Linked DNA regions of Rhinolophus ferrumequinum. The protein of the gene in region 1 binds, or shares a complex with, the protein of each later gene. Links are inferred from orthologs where the notes say so. Each region holds a gene or a part of one and is shown in the gene's direction. Other genes may lie near its edges.

Region 1 (7,641 bases):
GAAACATGGGAGAACTCTGACTTATGATTTTACTAGATGCATGGACAGTGCATGGTCAGTTTTACTTTATCAGTGACGGGATGCTCAAGGGAGACCACGTGATTTGTGTGCCATTAACAGTGGATACTTTCGAAGACACAGAGAGACATTGTTATACGGTATTTGTGAATGATATGTAATCATTGCTGACTTGTTGCATGCCATTTTGGGGTTTTTTATCTCTTCAAGTGTGAGGTTCAAAATTCTTGTATTCAAAATATGTCAGATAAGCACATTCGCACGTGTATACACATGCACGCTCACGCTCACACACACATGCACACACACAAACTACTGTTTTAGAGCTTCATTGTTTTTAGATGATTCTTAATTGCCAGAGAAAGCTTTCAGGCTGATGTCCCGTTATGGCTTATTGAATAAGTCTTAGTCCATATTTCCAGAATGTCTTCATATTGATTGTCTGCACCACATAAGAAGCACTTTTCAGTGATTTTTAATTGGTTTTCTATAACGATGGCAACTATATGTACTAGATTTTCTCGGATGATCCTGGTTTCAAGGACGGATATAATTGTCTCTCTAAGTACATAAATAATAGTCAGAGCATCAGCTCCAGTTTTCATCTCACATAACATGATCATTACATCTATATTTTATTTCAGCCCAGGTCATAGAACCTGAGCACATTACTGTGCCGTTGAAATGCTACTGAGAAGAGATGAGGAGAGCACATCGGTTAGCTTTTCTGGCTGGGGACAAAGACCAGCTCTCTCCTCCCTGATTCCTCATTAGGCCAGGTCACGTTTTTTCTGTTTTTACTCTTCTTACCTATCTCTTCCTACACTCTTAATTAGTATATCAGGGACAGTCAAAGGGTGTGTGAAGAAGAGGAGTCACCAGCATTTTGCCTTCTGCAACTTTTTGTTTAAAGTTATAGGATTGAAAAAAGCAGAGTATATAGTGAAAACCTTCTTCCTACCTTGAGACTTCTGGAATTGTTTGTTTGAGTGCTTTGGAAGTGTACATGGATTTTTTTTCAGGGGAGGAGAGCCTTAGAGATGATTGGAATTTTGACAGCAGAAGCATTTGGTTGTCTGTTTGCAACATTAATTCCAATGGTTTAACATGGTGGGAAAGGAAGACATGGCTCAGGGTGAAGGAGTTGGAAAGTAAGATTGCTTGATAGCGAAGCTATTTGTGAAGCATCAAACGACTGCTTGGTTCTCTGCTTTGCATCAAAGTAAACTGTTGACATCATTCTTTTTACTTAGAGTACTGGTTTCTTGGTTGGAGACTGAAGAAAATACTATGTTGTAGATATTTGGGCAGGTCACATGTGATTAGTAAGATTCTTTGGTAAGGTTACGTGTGCCCCAGAACCTGGGAAAGATGGGACAGCTGGACCTCAGGAAGAGTAGTCACCTTGATAGAGTCGACCATGACAAAAACTTCAGCTGGAAGATCTTTCTGAATTCTAGGCAATTCTAGAAGCTTCTGGAGTTGTGGGTCTTCACTCCAGAGCTCTGTTACTTGTAGGACTATGCTAATTCTTGAAGGTCTGTTTTATTTTAGTCTCCCTTTTTTGTGGCTTATTTTTCTGTACCTCGAAGCGTCTCACATTTTCCTTTGTTTCTTTTTCCTTAAAAACATTTTTATTACCCCCTCCCACCCAAAGAAACCTTGTACCAATTAGAAGTCACTCCCCATCTCACCCTTTCCTTGTCCTTGGCAAACCTAATTTCATTTTCTGTAGATTTGCCCAGTCTAGACATTTCATTTAAATTGAATGGTACAATACGTGGCTTTTTGTGCCTGGCTTCTTTCTCTTGGCCTAACGTTCTCGAGGCTCATCCATATTGTAGCATAAGTCAGTACTTTATTCCTTTTTATTGCAGAATAAATTCCGTTTTCTGGCTACACTACATTTTGTTTATCCAGAAATCAGTTAAGGGACATTTGGGTTTTTAAAATACTATTATAAATGAAGTTGTTTTCTTAATTTAATTTTGGTATGTTAATTGCTAGTGTATAGAAATACAATTAATTCTTGTATGTTGATCCTGTATCCTGCAACCTTGCTAAACTTTATTTATTTTTATTAGTTCTAAGAGCTTTTTAGTAGATTTCTTGGGATTTTTCTATTTATTACATCATATCATTCTGTGAATAGAGATAGTTTTACTTCTTTTCCAGTGGATGTCTTGTATTCTGCTTACAAGTTCTGCTTCCACCTATCTTTAGTATGCTACAATGCGTCATGTTTCTAACTCAGTATCATAGCTTCTCTCTTTGCTATCTTTTTGTATGTTCTGAATTTTCAAGTTTAAATAGAGATAGAGAAAAGGGAAAAAAGACATAGAGAATCTGATTAGCTCAAGTGTTAGTTATTATTTTTGTTTGGGCAAAACTTTGCATTCTAGTTCATAGGTCTCTGGCTAATAAATGCTTCCTTTGGGTTAGAGAATCACTAATAAGCTGAGGTCGGAGAGAAAGGGAGACCACAGGTTCTGGGTATTGCAAGACATTTTCTTTAGAAGGGGATGTAGGCATGGCCTGGCTTTGAAATTGATAGAGAGAGAACAATATTGGTATAGGAGGGATTTTTCCAAGAGTAAGATGTATCCTTTTTTTTTTTTTAATTTCGGAAGGTTTCTTTGTAGGTTGTAATGTTGTTGGTTGAAATAGATTATGAATTCTGAGGTATTTTTATTGAGGTATAATTGACATATAACATGTTAGTTTAAGGTATACAGCATAATGATTGCATATTTGTATTTATTGAGAAATGATCACCACAATAAATCTAGCTAACATTTGTCCATATACATAGTTTCAAACATTTTTTTTCTTCTGATGAGGACTTTCAAGATCCACTACAGTTAAAAATACTGTATTGTATATCTCTTTTTAGATTATCTGATAAGACCTCTTACATGTTTCTGTATCATAAAAAGTGAAGGTACCACACTACTCTTTTATGGTTAGCCTTCATCATATTTATTTGGTTGAATGAACTCTTTTAATATTCTAAGGAGATAAATATATTCAAGATAACTAGTGGTTCCTTCATCTCTGTACTCTCTCTAAGAAACTCTTTGTAATTGGTTATTTTGCAATAACAAAGAAACTCTTTGCAATTGACAAGAATTGATTGAGCAACTGTTTTATGTGGTTGTAATATGTGCTGTAATATTGGGGTAATAAGTGAAGAAGATGTGTTTCTGGAGGGGAGGTTCCAAAGAAGCAAAAGACATAATTCCAAGGATTTTTAGTTCCCTGTAGAAGGAAGGTTAAAACATATTGCACAACTTGAGAACATATACAAAATAACATGTAATCACAAAACTGCAGTACAATTTGGATATACATATGTCAAAAAGAACAAAATGACATGTAATAAATTCAATACTCTGCTACTGACGAGGGATACAGAGATGAAAGAGACTTAGTTTCTGTCCTAAAGATTCTGACAGTAATGACTTAGGACATAACTGTAATTCAAAAATGTTACTGCATTTTTGTGGATAGCTTTGCAATAAGAGGATGCCATGCTGTATTGTGGTTGGCTGCTTTTTAATGTCGAAAGGTACTGAAGATAGTAGCATCATTAACCTAATTTATAAAGAGAATTATACACCTCCATAAGACTAAGGTCATATGGCTAAACTTACATGTCACAGAAGAGTTAGCAAATTTTTTTTTAAAAACTGTGCATGTAGATAACTTGAAAATTATTTACTGGTCTTATAGAGGTGAAATAGAAACTTTCCAAAATAGATTTTCTGAACTTTGTCTGATGTAGTTTTAATTCCTCCGCTAATTTATGCCATCTTTGTCAATCATTTAACTTTTCTCTGCTTCATTAGTATTAAGGCCTAACTAGCTTATGTAACTGAAGTGAAAGGAGACACAAAAAAGTGCTCTGTATGCTTATAAATAATTTATTTTCTGTTTTCTTACAAGCTAATTTGAAAACTATAATATTTAAAATTTTACTTCACAGAAAGAAATTAAACAGTTCATAGTTCATGAAATAAAGCTATAGGCCAAATACAGTGTTTTATTTTTGGGGGGGCGGGGCTAAGACTAAAATAAAGAAATGCGAAATTTTGCTTGAGGGATTTTATAGGAATCTAGCAATGTCTGCACTTGGACAGTGCATTTCCTCATTAAAGTGTGTGTGTGTGTGTGTGTTTGTGTGTGTGTGTGTGTGTGGAGAGAGAGAAAGCGAGAGAGAGAGAGAGAGAGAGAGAGAGAGAGAGAGAGAGAGAGAATTTTTTAACTCACTAGCCTAAATTTTTAGAATACTATCTTCAATGCATGTTTCGTTAAATGAATGAACTTTCTGGAAAGTTGTCCCATTAGAAGCCTTTCGGGTAGTCAAGACCACAACTCCCAGAATGCCACGCTCCTCTTGTGCCCACGGATTAAGACGAGAATGTCCCGTCACCCTTGGCGCCAGGTGGAGACTACAATTCCCAGTATGCCTTGGGGGCTCCGGAAACCTTGTCATATACCACCTGTTGTCATAGTATCCGGGTCCGGGGCAACCAATCCGGGCACCCCTAAGGAGTAGAGGCGGGCCCTTTGTATCTCCCACCAACCGAAGGCATCTTATTGTGGAGCGTGACCGGAGGAGGAGGGAGCTCAGGACCGGCGCCTTCTCCTTGCTTCTTGGGGTCGTGGCCTTGCACCCGCTGTGCGAGGAAAAAGTCCGGGCACGTCCACGCGCGTGTGTGCGCGTGGGGCCTGAGGTGCTCGTGGGTCCACGCTAGGTCTCTGCGGGGACAGAAGAAGCCATGGGCGGGACCGCCAGCACCCGCCGGGTCACCTTCGAGGCGGATGAGAATGAGAACATCACCGTGGTGAAGGGCATCCGGGTGAGTGACAGTGGGCGGGTGGAGGGTCAGCACTCACGCTCGGAACCCAAACCTACGACCTTGCCAGGATCCACACAGCCTGGTTACCCCCACCCGGACCCCCAAGTATTGTCCGATGGGAAGCCGAGTTCTCTGCAAAGAAGCTTGAAATTTCAAGACTTGGGACATTTCATTGAGAGATTTCCTGGTTCTGTGCCAAGTGCTGAGCACAGCTGGGCTAGTGGGGGGTCGCCAGGGTGATTGGACTCTCCAAACGCTCACAGTCTAGTCTTGACTGTATCGCTCACTAGTTGTGGAACTTTATTCGAAACCCCTGCCTCACTGTGCCCATCTGTGAAATGGGACTTGTTTCATTTCTCCTGGCTTCAGGACCCAAACCCTGCTTTTGCACTGCTCTCATCACCTCCGGTGTGGTGAGTTGGGATTTTAATTAACACTTTATCTGTTCTCTGTCAGTTACTATTCTTCCACTCAAACCACCTATGCCTCCAACACGACACCCACGCACCCACCCACCCACCACCCCACCTCACAGACTTTTCTGGCCTGCCTCAGGGGACTTCTGGCTTCTCTGCCCTTCGCGTTTACTGGACATCTTGTCTTTCGCAGGCACCTCCTCTGTGGCCTGCCGCGCCTAAGTTTTGGAGTAGGCCCAGTTGCTTTATGACTAGTGTCTGCCAGCCTGATACGGCTTGAGATAGGATTGCATTTTTTTCAGACATCTAGAAGTATCGCAGTCAGTTCCAACCGAGACATTGTGGAAAAATTTTAAATGTCCCCTGACTGTGCGTGATACATAAACTGAAAACTTGATTTTTCCCAGGGTGTTAGTATCCCAGCACTAAACTTCATTAACACACTCTTCGCTGCACCTGAATTTGGAGCCTCACATTTTTGAAAGTATGCCTGAATCTAGTAAATAACGCACCTTGACTTCTGAAAGTCTTATAATAGTTTATGTTTTTCTTTCTCTGTTATTACACAGCCAGCATTAAGAAAATTTATATGTGTAAATTATTTTTAGCATTTGTTACTAGGAAATAAAACTTCTTAACTAATATTTCAAGTGTTTAAAAAACTTTACTCTGAAACTGTTACCTTGACAAGAATTTATTAAAGTTTTCTTTATAGAAACTCAGACTGTTGAACTCAATTTTTGGTCTTTGAGCAGCATTTCTTTATATCATATTAAAGGTAGTACCACATTTTGTAATAAACCGTCTGAGGGTGCATTCTTTGTGTTGTTGTGCTTTAGTTGGTACTCTTTGGAGTAAAATAAAAATCATTGTAAACTCTTTGAGTTTTTTGTAGAGATGTGTTTAATGTTGCCTTTAGGCATTGTTCCAAACCAGAGAGTGAAAAAGAAATAAAAGTAAGAAAAACCAAAACGAATTTTGAGTGAGAAGACATTGGCTAGAAAAGTGGATAAATCCTTGTTGTCATATTCTAGTAGTATGACAGACACAGTATGACAGCAGACAAAATTAAAAGAGAAGTTAGCCACTGCACAGAGATTCATATCAAATATTAGATAAGGTTAAATAGGATAAGTGTAATAAGGACAGATAGTATATTAAAACGGAAAGGTTTGCTAAAAACGTTATTTTAAAACCGTTTTTTTTTTTTTTTTTTTTTTTTTAACGAAGGAAGCTATGTCCTTTGGCCACTCATCTTAATGGAAGTATTCCTTATTTTTTTTCTCTCTTATGGTATACGTGTGATCTATACCATTTTACAGTTCCAGCATGCAGCGTGCTCATTTTGACCTCCGTACTCTTTTTTTTTTTTTTTTTTTTTTTTTAGCATATACCCTTCACCTGGAATGCCCTTGCACTGTTCCCTGTTGCTTCCAATCCTTCCTTTTCAAGGATGATTTGCAATCTCTGAGCTTCAGCTTTCTCATCTACAAAATGATGGGGCTTGAGTACATCACTCAGATCTCTAATCTTTTCCAGTTGTGAAATTCTGTGAGTCTAGTGGCACTGTAAGTTTCATGTAGTCATCCTCAGCTCGTTGCAGTGTCCTTTAAATATGGCATGCCGTTGAATTGTTGAGTACTCAGGGGTCATTGTGATTTCTTTGAGGTCATGGTTAAAAGAGCATCAACTTAGAGTTAAAAAGACCTGTTTAAATCTCAGCTTAGGCAATTACCAGCCTGAGGCCTATACAAGTCACTGGTCATATGTCCTCATCCTTAAAGGGGAATACCATCACTTCTCTTGATTGTGGTAAGAAGAGGAGGTAAGGTATTTAAAGCACGTGCCACACTGTAGATTTTTAATAAGAGGCAGCTGTTATTTTAGGGTTCCTTCCACATCTAAGATTCTTTGGAAGTTCCGTGTAGTGTAGTGGAAAGAAGAAGTGCTTCAGACCCAGGCAGACCCGGTTTGGTCCTAGCTCTGCTCTCACTAGTGGTCTTTGAGCAGCATTTCTTTTGATTGTGTTTCCCTGTTGAGTATATCTGGATAATGCAGTCTACTTATGATACTTGCGTATTCAGCACTACTTGAGAGAACTTGACATGTGTGTCAGCATCTAACATAGTGTCTAGTACTTTGAGAGAGTGTATTTATATGAGTAGCAGCTGTAAATTAGAGCTATTCAAGGGAGTGAATAAGTAAACTTACATTAACTTAATAGATAAAACTAAAAGCATTTTGTGTTCCCACAGTCATACCTACAGAGGTGTGGATTGGGAAATGGGAGTCCTGAGTTCTGCACCTGATGACCTGTGTGATTTTTGCCTTGGTGTTTTTAGAAG
Region 2 (7,281 bases), on another chromosome or scaffold:
AAGAAGAAATAAGGTGGTTCCAGGTGGGAGACAGAGAAGGTTCCAAGGGTGGCTCAGCAATGATGCGACCTGTTTGATGTGGCCAGGGCGCTGGGGCAAGACACATCACCTCTCTGAGCCTAAGCCCCAGTTTTCTCATCTGCGAAATGGAAGCAGCGATCATCCGAGAAGATTGAGTTAATGCCTTTCAAGTCCTTGACCAGGTACTGGCACAGTCACCACTCTCACACTGGAGTTTTCATTGTTTCCAGGTGCTGGTAGTTTTCCTCGGTTTTCCTTTTCTGTCTTGGGCCGGGGCCACTTTCTCAGAGGTGTCTCGGTTTATGTCCCAGCTTCAGGACGGATGGATGGACGGTCCCCCTCTAAGAAGATAAAGGGGCTCCACCCCCAGGAGCTCAGGCAGTGGCGGCAGCAGTGATGTTGAGCTCCTGGCGGATGAACCAGGCCCTCGGGCGTGGCAGCCAAGCCCGGATCAGGCAAAGCAGATGAAAGCGCCATGGGTAGAAGACACCAGAGGCACGCGTGGCACCTCCGCGGATCACAGCCAGGGCTGCCTTGGGCCCCAGGGCCGCCTTGGCCCTTGTGACACCCCTGGGGATGGGAGGGAGTGGTGGGGACTGCAGCTGAGGCTGGGCGCCCCCAGCCCCCGGCTCGAGCCCCTGGCCTTACCTGATACCCTCGGCAGCGGAGGAGCGATCCTGGAGTCCCAGGATGCACATGGTGATGGCCACATTCACGTCCTGCACGTCCAGCTCCCGCCGCAGGGAGCCGAAGAAGCTGTCCAGGGCGAATTTGGCCGCCGAATAGGGGCTGGAGAAGGACGTGGGCACACGGCCTGGGGGCGCGGGACGGCAGCTGCTGAGCAGCCACACGCCGCTCCCACTCCTCCAGGAAGCCTTCCTCCACCATCCAGGCTCGCCTGCATGGAGGCCTGTAGCATTCCCACTCCCTGCCCCTCATGCACGCACCGAGCAGTGAGGACACCACCACCAGGGAGCCCTTGCTGTCCGTCAGACTAGGCAGCGCCAAGGATGTCAGTTGCACGTAACTCAGGAAGTTCACCTGGAAGCGACGACTGAGAGTCACGCAGCGGACAAGGAAAACCAAGCCCAGAAGAGGCAGGGGGAGGACCCTATAAACCTGGGGGCGGGGCTGGTTAGGGAAAGGCGTGCCCGAGGGTCGGGGCGGAGTCCCGGTTGGAAGAGCTGGAGCTCAAGGCCAGAGGCGGGGCCAAAGCCTAGAGAGGGTGGAGCCTGGAACCAGAAGGTGCGGAGCAAGGGGCAGAGAGGGGCAGGGCCCGAAGAGGAATAGGGGAAGAGGGTGGAGTCTGGGAAGGAAGGACTGGAGGGCCGATCCGTGGGTGTAGACAAAGTTGAAAGCAGGTGGAACCTAGCATCCCTAGAGATGGGACCTGGGAATAGGAGAAACAGTGTCGTCCCGGGAGAGCGGAGGCAGGACTGAGGGGGCGGGGCCGAGAAGGGGCGGAGCACCTGCATAAGCCAGCGTGTCGCCTGGGTGCTGCGGGCCGGAGTGCCTGCCGGGGCGGCACCGAGGTGGTTCAGCACGAGGTAGTCCAGCCCACCTATCCCAGAGGCCCATCAGCCAGGAGCCAGTCTTTGAGGCTCCACCCCCTTGACCAGATGAGACCCCTCCCTATCCCCGTCCTTTAAACTAGCAAAGCTCCGCCCAGAGTATTGACCCAAGCAGCTCCGCCTTAGGTAGCGCTCCACAAGATCAAAGGGACCCCGCCTTACTCCCTGGATCCTGCAGGCTTCATCGCTAATTGAATGGGGCCCGGTCCAGAGTTCCGCCCCTTCGATACAATGAGGCCCCACCCCTAACCACAACCCCAGAGCCTTTTAAGTCGCCGCCCACAGACACGCGTTACTACCACACCCCCACCCCAGCTGGGTCTTGTCCTTAAGGCCTAGGCCAAGGTCCCAGACTCCAGGCCCCGCCCCTCACCCAGCTTGTCCAGCGCAAACTGCACCACGCGCTCGGGCACCTCAGGGGAGGCCATGTCCGCAGCGATGTAGAAGACCTTGGGAGCGCCCAGCTTCCGGCAGTTCCCTACCACCTGGGGGGGCCAGAGCTGCCCGTGGGCCCCTCCACCCCAGCTGGCCCCCTCCACCTGCACGACACACTGGGGCCCCCACCTGAAGCCCCCTCCCCCACTAAGCCTCCTATTCCATTCCCAACGCTTTACCACTGGGGTCACAAACTTGGCAGCTCGCCAGACAGAATAGGGGTCATTTTATTTGCTCAATTACCAACATTTAAAATTCAGCAGATTTCAAATAAATCTCAAGGTTTCTGGCCCCTCTTGAAATTCTGGAAGGTTTGTTTCCAAGAGCTGTACATTTCCTTGGAACATTCTGTTGCTGAGAAATGTCCACCCACCTCCCTTTTGCGTTTCAGAACCCTGGCTATGTCACAGGCTTTGGACACTACCAATATTCCCATTTACTGAGGAACACTTCTTGCTTTACACTCACTGTCTTACTGCATCCATCCAACACCATAACACATGAGAAGGTACTTTTATTATCTCCGTTTTGCAAATGAGGAAACTAAGGCTCAGAGAGGTTAAGCAATTTGCCAAATGTCACACAGGAAGCCTGGATCTTTGCAGGGATTCAAACCCAGTACCCATTTTCCATTCTACCCCCACCCCCACCAATAAACTCAAAATGGGGTGTCTCACCTTCTGCAGGAAGGCCTCAGTGTGGGCAGTGAGCACCAGATGGGAGCCCAGGCGGGCATAGTGATATGCCAGCTCCTCCCCGACACCTGCACTGGCCCCTGTTAACAGCACACGGGCTCCCTGGAGGCTGGCTGGTAGTGAGAAGGGGTGGTCAGCCTAGAAGGTGCACAGGACAGCCAGTCCCATTCCTACCTCTCCCACCCCAGGTACTCACCTGGGTCGAAGTTGTCAGCCCAATAATAGGCGAAGAACAGGGCTCCCAGCACGGTAAGGAGCAGGACCTTCATGGCCCTCCCTGGGTCTGCAGCGGGAGAAAGGATGGCCAGCACAGGCCTGGCCCACAGCCACACCCTTTCCCCCAACTGCACCTTTGTTCAAAGAAGATCTTCCTGGCCCTCTCCTCCATCTCCACAGCCACCACCTGGTCCAGGTCACCATACAGCTCACCTGAACCACTGCGCCAATAGATAACACAGTGACATAGAGTGATATGAGGAATGTGGAAGGCAAGAGCTGGGGGAACCCCAAAAGACCACTCTGTCCAGAGACACCCAGAAGGAACTGGACACTCAGGGCTGGGTTGGAGACAAGTCATTAAGGTTAAGACGTGACTTCAGCTGTGAGAGTGATTTACTTGTTCCAGGGAGAAGGTAAGAAACAGGTTAGGTGATTAAAAGTTCGGGGAGTCACGGGTCTCCCCTAAAAAGGGCACAGGCCCATCACACCTCTGGACTCAGTGGGACAAAGAGGAGAGAGGACCTTCCAGGACCCATGGGGCTGACAAGTGGTGGGATTGGGGCGTCCCCATAACTTCAGTCTCTAGATCCAGCCCTATATCCTTTGTCCCCACTACAACGTTCCAGCTGCCTCCTCCCCGGCTCCCCCATCTTCACACTCCCTTCCTCCCACGCTTTATTCTTCATGCAGCCAAAGGGATCTTTGTCAAAAGAAATCTGGAGTGCCCCTTCCTGCTCCAAACCCCCCCCCCCAAGGGCTCGCCACTGCCCCCAATGGAAACCAAGTTCCTCACTGCCCACAAGGCCGAGCAGGCTGCCCTCTGCCCACCTGTCGATTCTCATCTTCCCCTACTCCTGTCAATTAATCAGTTCTCAGAAAAGTGAACTCCTCACCTTTCCCCAGTCATGCCAGCCATTTCCTCAGCAGGGAACGCGCTCCCACTTCCTTCACTTCCAGGAGGAAAGAGCTCGTGAAGCCCCTCAGCTCAACCCTCTTACCAACCCTGGTCTTGACCATAGCATAAAGACTACGCTTTAATGAGTTCTTTCCTGGTGGGACCGCAATCTCCGTCGTCTCGGAGTCGTAACGAGACTCCGACCTCCAGCAGCCCCACAGGGCGAAGCAGGGTTGGATGGATGGGTGAGTGGGTGGGAAGAAGGATGGATGTATGCATGAAGCAGCCCGGCTGCGATGGGGATGGAATGGAGGAACCAGATCCTCGCAGAATCCACTGGCCACCTGACTTCGCCGGGCCTCAGTTTCCCCGCTGGACAAAGGGGGCGTCCGACCCATTCCGCACTCACAATCGCACACTCACCCACTCGGGCCTCAGTTTCTCCCGCTGTCCACCGGGGCTAGGGGTCCGCACTGGAAGCCACGCGTACGCCCTTCTGGTATCCCTTCACGGCCCTGGCCGGTCGGGCCCCCCACCGCGACCCCTCTGGTAGAACCTGAGTCACGTGGCTCCGAACCCACCTCCTCCCCGGGAGGGGCCAGGCCGCTGGGACTCCGCGCCCGGGCGTTGCCGGGCAACCGCCTCCTGCTGGCTCTCCGGCTCCCAGACTAAGCCCTGGCTCCGCCCCGTGGACGGAAAACCCACCCGTCAAGTCCGACGACATGACTTAGACCCGCCTCTCTCGAACAATTCCCGCCCTCGCGTTGTCGTGAAAACTAGCTTCTAGGCACGCTCTTCTTAGGCCCCGGCGTGAATTCTTCGCGCGGGGGGTGGATCTTCCGGACTCCGACATCTTCTTGGGTCACCCTCGGGCCTCACTCCAACTCCCCTCTCCTCTCACGGCTCCAAGGCAGAACTACATTTCCCAGACAGCTTTGCGGCGGCCCGGCCCGGAAGACTACGCTTTAATGAGTTCTTTCCTGGTGGGACCGCAATCTCCGTCGTCTCGGAGTCGTAACGAGACTCCGACCTCCAGAGGCCTTTGCGGCTGACAAGCGAAACTACGCTTCCCAGAAGCCTCTGCGGCTCCGTGACCGGAAGCGGCGGGCAAGCCGAGTGTCCTTGCGCGCGGAACCGAGTGACTATGGTGTCCCGAGTGTGGTCGCTGATGAGGTGCGTGGGGCCGCTGGGCGGGCCCTGAGCCCCCGAGAAATTCCTCTCCTACGGACACCCCTTTCTGGTTTGCTCCCGACCTGCTCTTCGCATCCGGTAGTGTCAGGTGCCCTGTCGCCCAAATGGAGAAACTGAGGTTCAAGCGGGGAGGGGATTCCCCAGGTCGCGCGAGCCGTTGCTTCCCGTCTCTCTATCCAAGATCTCTCCGATCCTCAGTTGCCTCCTCTGTAAAATGGGAGTGCCACACGCCATTTATTGGGAGGTTAATGCACGCCCAGACCGGCGTAGGACATACAGGAAGCGACCAGGGGCACTTGGAAAACCCTTGCAGGTTGCTGGCGGAGAGTCCCTCCCGGGGTGGAAGGCAGGAAGTCGGAGGACTTAAGCCTTTATTGTTCCCTGCTCTCTGCGGGATCACGAGTGACCCACTGTCCCTATGCGGGCCTCAGTTTACCAGTTATTGGGGCGGAGTAGCCCTGCTTTGCACACTAAGTGGGGTGCTGTGCATCGTGGCCGGCAGGCACGCCTCTGGGCTAGCAAGGTGCCGTGTGCTTCTGTTCGCTGCTTGGCTTCAGGTGTGGCACTCTTTGGACTGTGGGGCCCCCTGGGGGTCTAACTCCTCCTCAGGTGGGCCTAGGCCTCAGAGGGTGCCCAGCAGTGTTTCCTGAGCCGCTGTTGTTCCCTTCCCTGTTTGCAGGTTTCTCATCAAGGGCACTGTGGCTGGGGGCGTGGTCTACCTGGTGTATGACCAGCAGCTGCTGGGGCCCAGCGACAAGAGCCATGCGGCCCTTCAGAAGGCTGAGGAAGTGGTACCGCCAGCCATGTACCAGTTCAGCCAGTACGTGTGCGAGCAGACAGGCCTGAAGATACCCCAGGTACCCCGCGCTGAGGCTTGGCGGGAGGGGGCTGTCAATTCTGGGGTGGCCTTCTGTCCCTGGTCCCTCCATCCCTGCTGGGAGCCCTCCACACTGGGGCGTGTGCCGCCCTCCCTGCCTCTGAGGGAAGCTGGGGCTGCCGGGCCCTTCCCCTTTCACCAGGCCCTCTCCCCTGTCTCTTCCCAGCTCCCAGCCCCTCCAAAGTTTAACTTTAACATCCGTGAGTCCTGGAATTCAGGTAGGCCTTGGTCCCTCTGCCTCGGGGGTGGCCCAGGTCCCCGCCCTGCTCCCTGGCGTGCCTTTCCATTGCTCCTTTAACTGTTGTGTGTGCCTCCACGGTCTGAAACAGAAAGGTGGGGGTTCCAGGGAAGTGGGAGCACATAGGGCTGCTTTGTGAGAGCTGAGGCCACATGGGAGCACATCGGGGTTGGGTGGTGTCAGACAAGGCGAGGCCCTGCCCCTCCTCTGCCTCAGTTTCTCCGTGTGGAATTCACAGAGCTAGAAGTGGTGCCTCCACAAGCATGGCTGAGTTGGGTGTCCTGGGGGTTGTACTAAACCCCTTGGCTATAGGTGGGGAACCTCACAGGTGCGTGTCCTCCCTCCCTCCCCACAGGCATCATTACAGTGATGTCTGCCCTGTCGGTGGCCCCATCCAAGGCTTGCGAATACACCAAGGAGGGCTGGGAATACCTGAAGGAGCGAATCAAGTAGCCTGTCAGAGGAGCCCGCCTGTCCCTCAGAAACAGGGGCAGGGGTGCCGTGGACCTCAAGCCTCCAGACTGGGACCCCACTCTGAGGGCAGCTCCTAACCTTGCCGCCCAATAAAGGACTTCGGAAGTGTTCCCTGACCTGTGTGCCTGCCCCAGGGGCCTGGGGTGGCCCAGGTGATGCTTAGAGCATGGGGCCCTGGCCTTCCAGCTCGGGAGGCTCCTCAGGGCCTGATCTTGACCCCAGGCCATGGTTCTTACGTTTGCTGTCTGATCCCTACCTGCTAGGGCCCCCACCTGGTGTGGGGAGTGGGAGCAGACAATGGGCCCCAGTGCTCAGTGCCTCGGAAAAGGGTTGAGAAAGTGCTGAAGACCAGCCTGGGCTGGGGGGGTCTCAGTTCTTGGAGGGCTGAACCCAGGGTGGGGCATTCTGGGAGCGAGCGCTTGGTGGAGTGGGCAGACTTCATCTCCTGTGCTGGTTACACGCCCACTTTTACCTAGTCTTTATTCTCATTCCACGCTCCCCCCAACCTGGGATTCCTGGGGAGCACAGGCCTGGAGGTCATTGCCATGTACTGGGGTCTCCCCAACCCCCAAGGGCTTTGCTGTCCTGACCTCATCTCCTGGAAGTGCTCTGCTCCCCTCGGAAACCTTCCCTGACACCCCTGTCCCACACTGGGCCAGCTGCCT
Region 3 (8,046 bases), on another chromosome or scaffold:
TTTATTGCAGAATTTCTCTTCCCCCATTTCAGCTTGGGATTGTACTTGCTCATCGTGTGTCCCCATAGTGTTGTTAAAGTAGAATAAAACTGCTATTCAAATACTTTCATGGATATTATTTTAGAAAAACGCAGGGTGATAGTGCATAACTACCACAGAAAGCAGACTTACGTTTATAATGAAAGTAACGGGCTTTATAATTTTTCCCAGTTGATACTTTTTGATTTAATTTTATTTATTATTTATTTTTTAATTTTTTTTAGGGTTTTGGTTTTCTTAAAGTATAATTTACTATTATTATTATTTTTTTCTTTTTTTAATTTATTGCGGTGACCAATTGTTAGTAAAATTACATAGATTTCAGGTGTACAATTCTGTATTACATCATCTATAAATCCCATTGTGTGTTCACCACCCGGAGTCAGTTCTCCTTCCATCACCATATATTTGATCCCCCTTACCCCCATCTCCCACACCCCAGCCCCGTTACCCTCTGGTAACCACTTAAACTATTGTCTGTGTCTATGAGTTCTTCTTTCTTATTTGTCTGTCTTGTTCTTTTGTTGTTTTTGGTTTATATACCACATATCAGTGATATTCTATGGTTCTCTGCTACTTCTGTCTGACTTATTTCGCTTAGCATTATACTCTCAAGATCCATCCATGTTGTCACAAATGTTGCTCTATCTTTTCTTACCGCCGAAACATATTCCATTGTGTATATATACCACAACTTCTTTATCCATTCATCTATTGAAGGACATTTTGGTCGTTTCCATGTCTTGTCCACCGTAAACAAAGCTGCAATGAACATTGGAGCACACGTGTCTTTATGTGTAGATGTTTTCAGATTTTTTGGGTAGATACCCAGGAGAGGGATTGCTGGGTCATATGGTAATTCTATTAGTAATTTTTTGAGGAACCTCCACAATCCCTTCCATAATGGCTGCACCAGTCTGCATTCCCACCAACAGTGTATGAGGATTCCTTTTTCTCCACAGCCTCTCCAACACTTGTTACTATTTGTCTTGTTGATGATAGCCATTCTGACTGAGGTGAGGTGATATCTCATTGTGGTTTTTATTTGCATTTCTCTGATGATTAGTGATGTTGAGCATTTTTTCATATGTCTACTTGCCATTTCTATGTCCCCTTTGGAGAAATGTCTCTTCAGGTCCTCTGCCCCTTTTTCAATTGGGTTGTTTGTTTTTGTGTTGTTGAGTTTCATGAGTTCCTTGTATATTTTGGATATTAGCCCCTTATTGGAGGCACTGTTTGCAAAAATCTCCCATTCACTTGGTTGCTTCTTTATTTTGTCGATGGTTTCTTTTGCTGTGCAGAAGCTTTTAAGTTTCATATAGTCCCATTCGTTTACTTTAGCTTTTACTTCCATTGCCTTGGGAGTCCAATTCATAAAATGCTCTTTAAACCCAAGGTCCATAAGTTTAGTACCTATGTTTTCTTCTACGCACTTTATTGTGTCAGCTCTTATGTTTAAGTCTTTGATCCATTTTGAATTAATTTTGGTACATGGTGACAGATAGCAGTCCTGTTTCATTCTTTTGCACGTGGCTTTCGAATTCTGCCAGCACCATTTATTGAATAGGCTGTCTTTCCTCCATTGTATGTTTTTAGCTTCTTTGTCAAAAATTAACTGTCCATATTTATGTGGTTTTATTTCTGGGTTCTCAGTTCTATTCCATTGGTCTGTGTGTCTGTTTTTCTGCCAATACCATGCTGTTTTGATTATTGTAGCCCTGTAGTACAAGCTAAAGTCAGGGAGTGTGATACCTCCTGTATTGTTCTTTTTTCTTAAGATTGCTTTTGCTATTCGGGGTCTTTTGTGGTTCCAAACAAATCTGATGAGTTTTTGTTCTATTTCTTTAAAAAACGCCATTGGGATTTTGATGGGGATTGCATTAAATCTGTATATTGCTTTGGGTAATATGGCCATTTTAACTATGTTAATTCTTCCAATCCATGAGCACGGAATGTCTTTCCATTTCTTTGTGTCTTCTTCAATTTCTTTCAAAAATGTCTTATAGTTTTCAGCATATAGGTCCTTCACATCCTTAGTTAAGTTTATTCCTAGGTATTTTATTCTTTTTGGTGCAATTGCAAAAGGAATTGTTTTTTGCATTTCTTTTTCTGAGATTTCATCGTTAGTATATAGGAATGCAATGGACTTTTGTACATTGATTTTGTAGCCAGCAACTTTACTGTATTCGTTGATTGTTTCTAATAGCTTTTTGGTGGAGTCTTTAGGATTGTCTATATATACCATCATGTCATCTGCAAAGAGTGATAATTTAACTTCTTCATTCCCAATGTGGATGCCTTTTATTTCTTTCTCTTGCCTGATTGCTCTGGCAAGGACTTCCACACTATGTTGAAAAGCAGAGGTGACAGGGGACAGCCCTGTGGTGTTCCTGAACATAGAGCAAAGGGCTTCAGTTTTTCACCATTAATTATGAGATTAGCTGAGGGCTTGTCATATATGGCCTTTATGATGTTAAGGTATTTTCCTTCTATACCTATTTTATTAAGTGTTTTAATCATAAATGGATGTTGTATCTTGTCAAATGCTTTTTCTGCATCAATTGATATAATCATATGATTTTTGTCCTTTATTTTGTTTATGTGATGTATCACATTGATGGATTTGCGGATGTTGAACCATCCTTGTACCCCGGGGATGAACCGCACTTGGTCATGATGAGTGATCTTTTTAATGCATTGTTATATTAGATTAGCTAGAATTTTGTATAGGATTTTTGCATCTGTATTCTTCAGACATATTGGTCTGTAGTTTTCTTTTTTTGTGCTGTCCTTACCAGGTTTTGGTATCAGGTTAATGTTGGCCTAATAAAATGAGTTAGGGAGTACTGTCTCTTCTTCAATTTTTTGGAAGAGTTTGAGCAGGATCGGTATTAGATCCTCTTTGAAGGTTTGGTAGAATTCACTAGTGAAGCGATCTGGTCCCGGACTTTTGCTTTTAGGGATGTTATGGATGACTGATTCAATTTCATTACTGGTGATCGGTCTGTTTAGATTTTCCAGTTCTTCATGGTTCAGCCTTGGAAGGCTATAGGTTTCTAAGAACTTGTCCATTTCTTCTAGGTTATTGAATTTGGTGGCATATAGCCCTTCATAGTATTCTTGAATGATCCTTTGTATTTCTGTGGTGTCCGTGATAACTTCCCCTTTTTCATTTCTGATTTTGTTAATTAGCGTTTTTTCTCTTTTTATCTTAGTGAGTCTAGCCAAGGGTCTGTCAGTTTTGTTAATCTTTTCAAAGAACCAGCTCTTTGTCACATTAGTTTTTTCTAGTGTCTTTTTGTTCTCTATTTCATTTTGTTTCGCTCTAATTTTTGTTATTTCTTTTCTTCTTCTGAGCTTGGGTTTCACTTGTTCTTCTTTTTCTAGTTCTTTAAGGTGTAACATGAGGTTATTTATTTGGGATTTTTCTTGTTTCTTGAGATAGGCCTGTAATGACACTAAATTTCCCTCTTAAAACTGCTTTGGCTGCATCCCAAAAATTTTGGTAGGATGTATTTTGATTCTCATTTGTTTCTATGTATCTTTTGATCTCTCCTCTAATTTCTTCTTTGACCCAGTCGTGCTTTAAAATTATGTTGTTTAATCTCCATGTATTTGTGTTTTTTCCTGCTTTCTTTTTGCAGTTCATATCTGATTTCAAAGCCTTGTGATCAGAGAATATGCTTGGTATGATTTCAATCTTCTTAAATTTGCTGAGTCTGATTTTATGTACCAATATATGGTCTATCTTTGATAATGTTCCATGTACACTAGAAAAGAATGTATAGTCTGATGTTTTAGGATGAAGTGCTCTATATATGTCAATTATGTCCATTTCATCTAATGTGTCAGTTAGGGCTGCTATTTTATTATTTTTTTTTTCTGTTTGTATGATGTATCCATAGCTGTCAATGATGTATTTAAGTCCCTTAATATAATTGTGTTTTGGTCAATTTCTCCCTTTAGTTCATTTAGCAGTTGCTTGGTATATTTCGGTGCTCCCTGATTGGGGCGTAAATATTGATGACTGTTACGTCTTCTTGTTGTATAGTCCCCTTTATCATTATGAAATGTCCATCTTTGTCTCTTGTTATCTTTTTCACCCTGAAGTCTGTTTCATCTGATATCATTATGGCTACACCTGATGTTCTCTGGGTACCATTTGCTTGGAGTGTCAATTTCCACCCTTTCACTTTGAGTCTATGCTTGTCCTTGTAGCTGAGATGTGTCTCTTCGAGACAGCATATGTTTGGGTTTAATTTTTTTGATCCAATCTGCTGCTCTGTGCCTTTTTATTGGTGAATTCAGTCCATTTACATTTTGGGTGATTATTGATATGGGAGGATTTCCTGTCATTCTATCTTTAGTTTTTTGGTAAGGCTGTGTCTCCATTGTTTCTTTGCCTTTCTGTTGTTGTCTATTATTTCTGTGTGGTGGTATTCTATGATATTTCCCTCTGTTTCTTCTTTTATTACACTATATATTTCAGTTCTGGATTTTTTTTTTGAGTGGTTCTCCTTAAGTTTATGTAAAAGTAAGTTTGATATTTAGAGTATTCCATTTTCTTCAGCACGCTTACTTTCTCCATTCCCATATTCTGGTTCAGGCCTTTACTGTCCCCCTTTTTATGTTTCGGTTGCCACAAATTGTCCCTGTTGGTGGTGGTCGAATAGCCTCCTTTAGTATTTCTTGTAGGGCAGGTCGTGTATTAGAAAATTCCCTCAGCTTTTGTACGTCTGGAAAGGTCTTTCTTCCTCCTTCATATCTAAAGGATATGTTTGCTGGATGTACTATTCTTGGCTCACAGTTTTTCTCTTTCAATAGTTAGAATATTTGGTTCCACTCCCTCCTGGCTTGTAGAGTGTCTGTTTGAAAAATCTGATGATAATGTAATGGGCTTTCCTTTGTAGGTGACCGTCTTCTTTTCCCTGGCTGCCTTGAGGATTCTTTCTGTGTCGTTGATTTTAGACAGCTTCAATACAATGTGCCTTGGAGATGTCCTGTGGGATTGAGGTAATTAGGTGTTCTATTTGATTCTTGGATTTTAGGATCCAGTGCTGTCCACCAGTTTGGGAAGTTCTCATCAACAATTTGTTTGAATATATTCTCTGTTCCCTTCTCTCTTTCTTCTCCTTCTGGTATACCCATTATTCTTATATTGGTGTTTGTGATGGAGTCAGAAAGTTCTTGTAGAGGTCTTTCATTTCTTTTAAGTCTCAAGTCTCTTTCTTCTTCCAGCTGTGTAATTTCCATGTTTCTATCTTCGATGTCACTGATTCTTTCCTCCATCTGGGCAACTCTGCCACCTAAGCTGGTTGTTTCATTCTTAACTTTTTCTATTAAGTGTTTAATTTCCAGAAATTCTGTTTGGTTCTTTTTTAAAATTTCAATGTCTTTCGTAAAATGCTCATGTTGTTCTTTGATTGTGTTTCTGAGATCATTAAACTGCCTTTCTGTGTTTTCTTGGATCTCGTTGAGTTTTTTCAGAACTGCAATCTTGAATTCTCTGTCATTTAAGTCACATATTTCCATATCTTTAACTTCATTTTCTGGAGACTTTTCACTTTCTTTCTGAGCTGTCTTGCTGCCTTGGTTATTCATGGCGATTACTGATTTATTTTTTCTCTTCCTAGACATCTGCAGGAGTGACTTCTGCATCAGGTTGATAGGAAGAGGTCTTTCTTTAGTTTTTCAGTACTTGTTGGTAGAATATTTTATTTTCTCTCCGACTGCAGCCTTTTTCTTCGCTCACCCGGTAGTGCTTTGTTTTCTCTGCACTATTCCAGCTTCTTACACAATGGGGGGATTTCCTGGGAGATGGGCTTCTCCTCTGTTAATAGTTCGCTTGGGTCACAGGGCGCAGTGTCTGTATGGGTATGCGGAGAGCTTTTGAAGTTCCAAAACTCTTCCCGCACCTGATTCAGAGCCCGTATGTTTCAGCTGTTCTGTTTACTCCTGCAGGGATCTGCCCAGATAGGTGGGGCCAGGGGCGGGGTGAGTTGTGAGAGGTGGCCCAGAGCAATGGCGGCGACCACCATCATAGCTGGTCCTGCTTCCGCAGCTCCCTCCCCTTTGCCAGAACTAGTTGGGCTGCGAATCTGTGTCTGTGGTCCACAGTTCTCAGAACATCAAATATTCTGTTCTTTTATTCTGACACTGCTAGTGTTCCTCTTCTATTACTGGGCAGGTGGGGGCAGGGCGATCTGTGGGAGGGTAGGGAGGGCCGGCTAGTCTCAGTGCCTAAGGCTCCGTTCTCTGCTTGGCAGTGAGGGCTTAAACCACTGTTTTCAGCCTTCTGCCCTCAGTCTTTCCTCCAAGGTCTCTGCCGTGAACATTGGGTTCATCCGTGTTATATGCTGCCCCCTCAGCCCTGTGGGCCATATGCGGAGCCCTAGCAGTCCGAGTTCTTCCCTCTCCCGCAGCTGCGGTAGTTCCGGGAAGCAGCGAGCTCGGACACTGAACTAGGTGTGTGTCCTGCGCCCGCCCGCGCAGCTCCGTCTCCGCACGTCTCCCTTCCCTTCTACCCCGCTCGCTTGATTCGCCCACCTTTCAGTGAATTCAGTAGTGGGCCTCTTCGTCTTGCCTGTCTGCTGTGCAGGGAGTCCTTTGTGGAGTTATTGTTGTTCGATTAGTTGTAAATTCCAGGGGAGCTTTACAGAGTCTCACCTCACGCCGCCATTTTTCTTGTTTTTATTTTTAATAAAAATATCATTTCAGGGCTGAGGGAAAAATAAGCAAATATGTGATTTGACAGTTTTTGTGTCAAATAAATCAACAAAATGATCTCTAATAGATTTTGGTTTTATTTGTACTTTTGATGACTTACTACATTTAACCATGTTGTATTTCATAAGCCTTGTGTTTTAAACCATAAGAAATTTTAGAGAGAGACATGTTTGAGTCATAAAGCTGCCTTATTTCAACTTTAACCTATGGAATGACATGTGATATATAAATAGAGAGGTTATCCTGAATATTTTATTGTTACCCCCACCTCTAAATTCAACACTTTAGAAAAGTGGTGATGATTTTTAAGTAAGCCTAACAAAAATCTAAAGGATGGATAAATATGATTATTTCATATTTTAGACCTTACAACTTACATTTGTTCAAAGATAGGTTACTTTGATCTGATCTTGTGTCATTAATTTATACTAACTTATGTACTTGATACAAGGCTGGTTAAATTGGCTACAACACTGCTACGATACAGTTATTGTCCTCAAGGAAAATGGAATCTATGGGGTTCAAAACAGAGTGAGAAAACAAGTCTAATTAGAGGGTTAGGAAAGACTACATGAAGAGTGCCACATCTAGTAGTTCCGTAGAATGGCCAGAAGTTTAGTAGAGAGGGTATTCCTAAGGGTAATGATGTGGAGAAAGACAACCGCTTGAGTTTAGCTATATCAAAGAATTCCTAAAGGAGAACAGCGAACAGAGACAAGGCTAGAAAAGTCATGTTGAATTTCCCCAGAGATGGGGTTTGGATGAGGTAGGAGCATATCTTTTTTTATATTTTTATTCCTAGTACCTAGGATAGTGTTTGACTAATCTTTGTGTAAAGAATGGGAAAATGTAAAGAAAATGCATATGATAAGTTTGCTTTTATGATTTTATGAGACTATTCTCTGATATATAGGTTTAGACTGTTTTTCAGAACCATTCCTATAGAAGGATAAAATCTCTCATTTTCATATTTTCCCTTTACTTTATTGAAAGTGTGATTCCATTATATTCCACTGCAGTGGCATAAACAACATCCAGCTCTTCTGCTGTCTTCAGGTCAACATAGGTGCCCTGAATAGATGGATATAGAGCTAAAATTGGTATGTTTGAAAGCAAAAATCAAGTAAAAATTTAATCTGTTCTTGTTATTGAATAAATTTCACATGTAACATTGTGAAAGTTTAAGGTGTTCAGCCTGTTACTTTGATATGTTTATATATTGTAATGTGATTGCCAATGTAACAATATTTATCACATTACATAATTATAGTGCAGTATTGT

What was found. The genes of interacting proteins can lie anywhere in the genome.
Region 2: CHCHD3 (region 1) and MICOS13 share a complex: the UniProt entries of both Homo sapiens proteins name them as parts of the mitochondrial contact site and cristae organizing system (MICOS) complex. The link is inferred for Rhinolophus ferrumequinum from reciprocal best matches to the Homo sapiens genes CHCHD3 and MICOS13.
Region 3: CHCHD3 (region 1) and APOOL share a complex: the UniProt entries of both Homo sapiens proteins name them as parts of the mitochondrial contact site and cristae organizing system (MICOS) complex. The link is inferred for Rhinolophus ferrumequinum from reciprocal best matches to the Homo sapiens genes CHCHD3 and APOOL.

What each region holds. Positions count from the first base shown.
Region 1 is NC_046309.1:14,136,306-14,143,946, forward strand, and holds the start of CHCHD3 (MICOS complex subunit MIC19), read left to right. Parts: upstream 1-4,586; 5' UTR 4,587-4,799; coding exon 4,800-4,880; intron 4,881-7,641. UniProt on the Homo sapiens protein: Component of the MICOS complex, a large protein complex of the mitochondrial inner membrane that plays crucial roles in the maintenance of crista junctions, inner membrane architecture, and formation of contact sites to the outer membrane.
Region 2 is NC_046301.1:58,423,461-58,430,741, forward strand, and holds MICOS13 (MICOS complex subunit MIC13), read left to right. Parts: upstream 1-4,878; 5' UTR 4,879-4,980; coding exon 4,981-5,009; intron 5,010-5,706; coding exon 5,707-5,884; intron 5,885-6,070; coding exon 6,071-6,122; intron 6,123-6,497; coding exon 6,498-6,595; 3' UTR 6,596-6,732; downstream 6,733-7,281. Other genes in the region: HSD11B1L (hydroxysteroid 11-beta-dehydrogenase 1-like protein), read right to left, coding at 396-591, 670-835, 969-1,062, 1,491-1,582, 1,966-2,077, 2,705-2,835, 2,919-3,005, 4,542-4,560. UniProt on the Homo sapiens protein: Component of the MICOS complex, a large protein complex of the mitochondrial inner membrane that plays crucial roles in the maintenance of crista junctions, inner membrane architecture, and formation of contact sites to the outer membrane.
Region 3 is NC_046284.1:69,669,988-69,678,033, reverse strand, and holds the start of APOOL (MICOS complex subunit MIC27), read left to right. Parts: upstream 1-4,997; 5' UTR 4,998-5,034; coding exon 5,035-5,052; intron 5,053-8,046. UniProt on the Homo sapiens protein: Component of the MICOS complex, a large protein complex of the mitochondrial inner membrane that plays crucial roles in the maintenance of crista junctions, inner membrane architecture, and formation of contact sites to the outer membrane.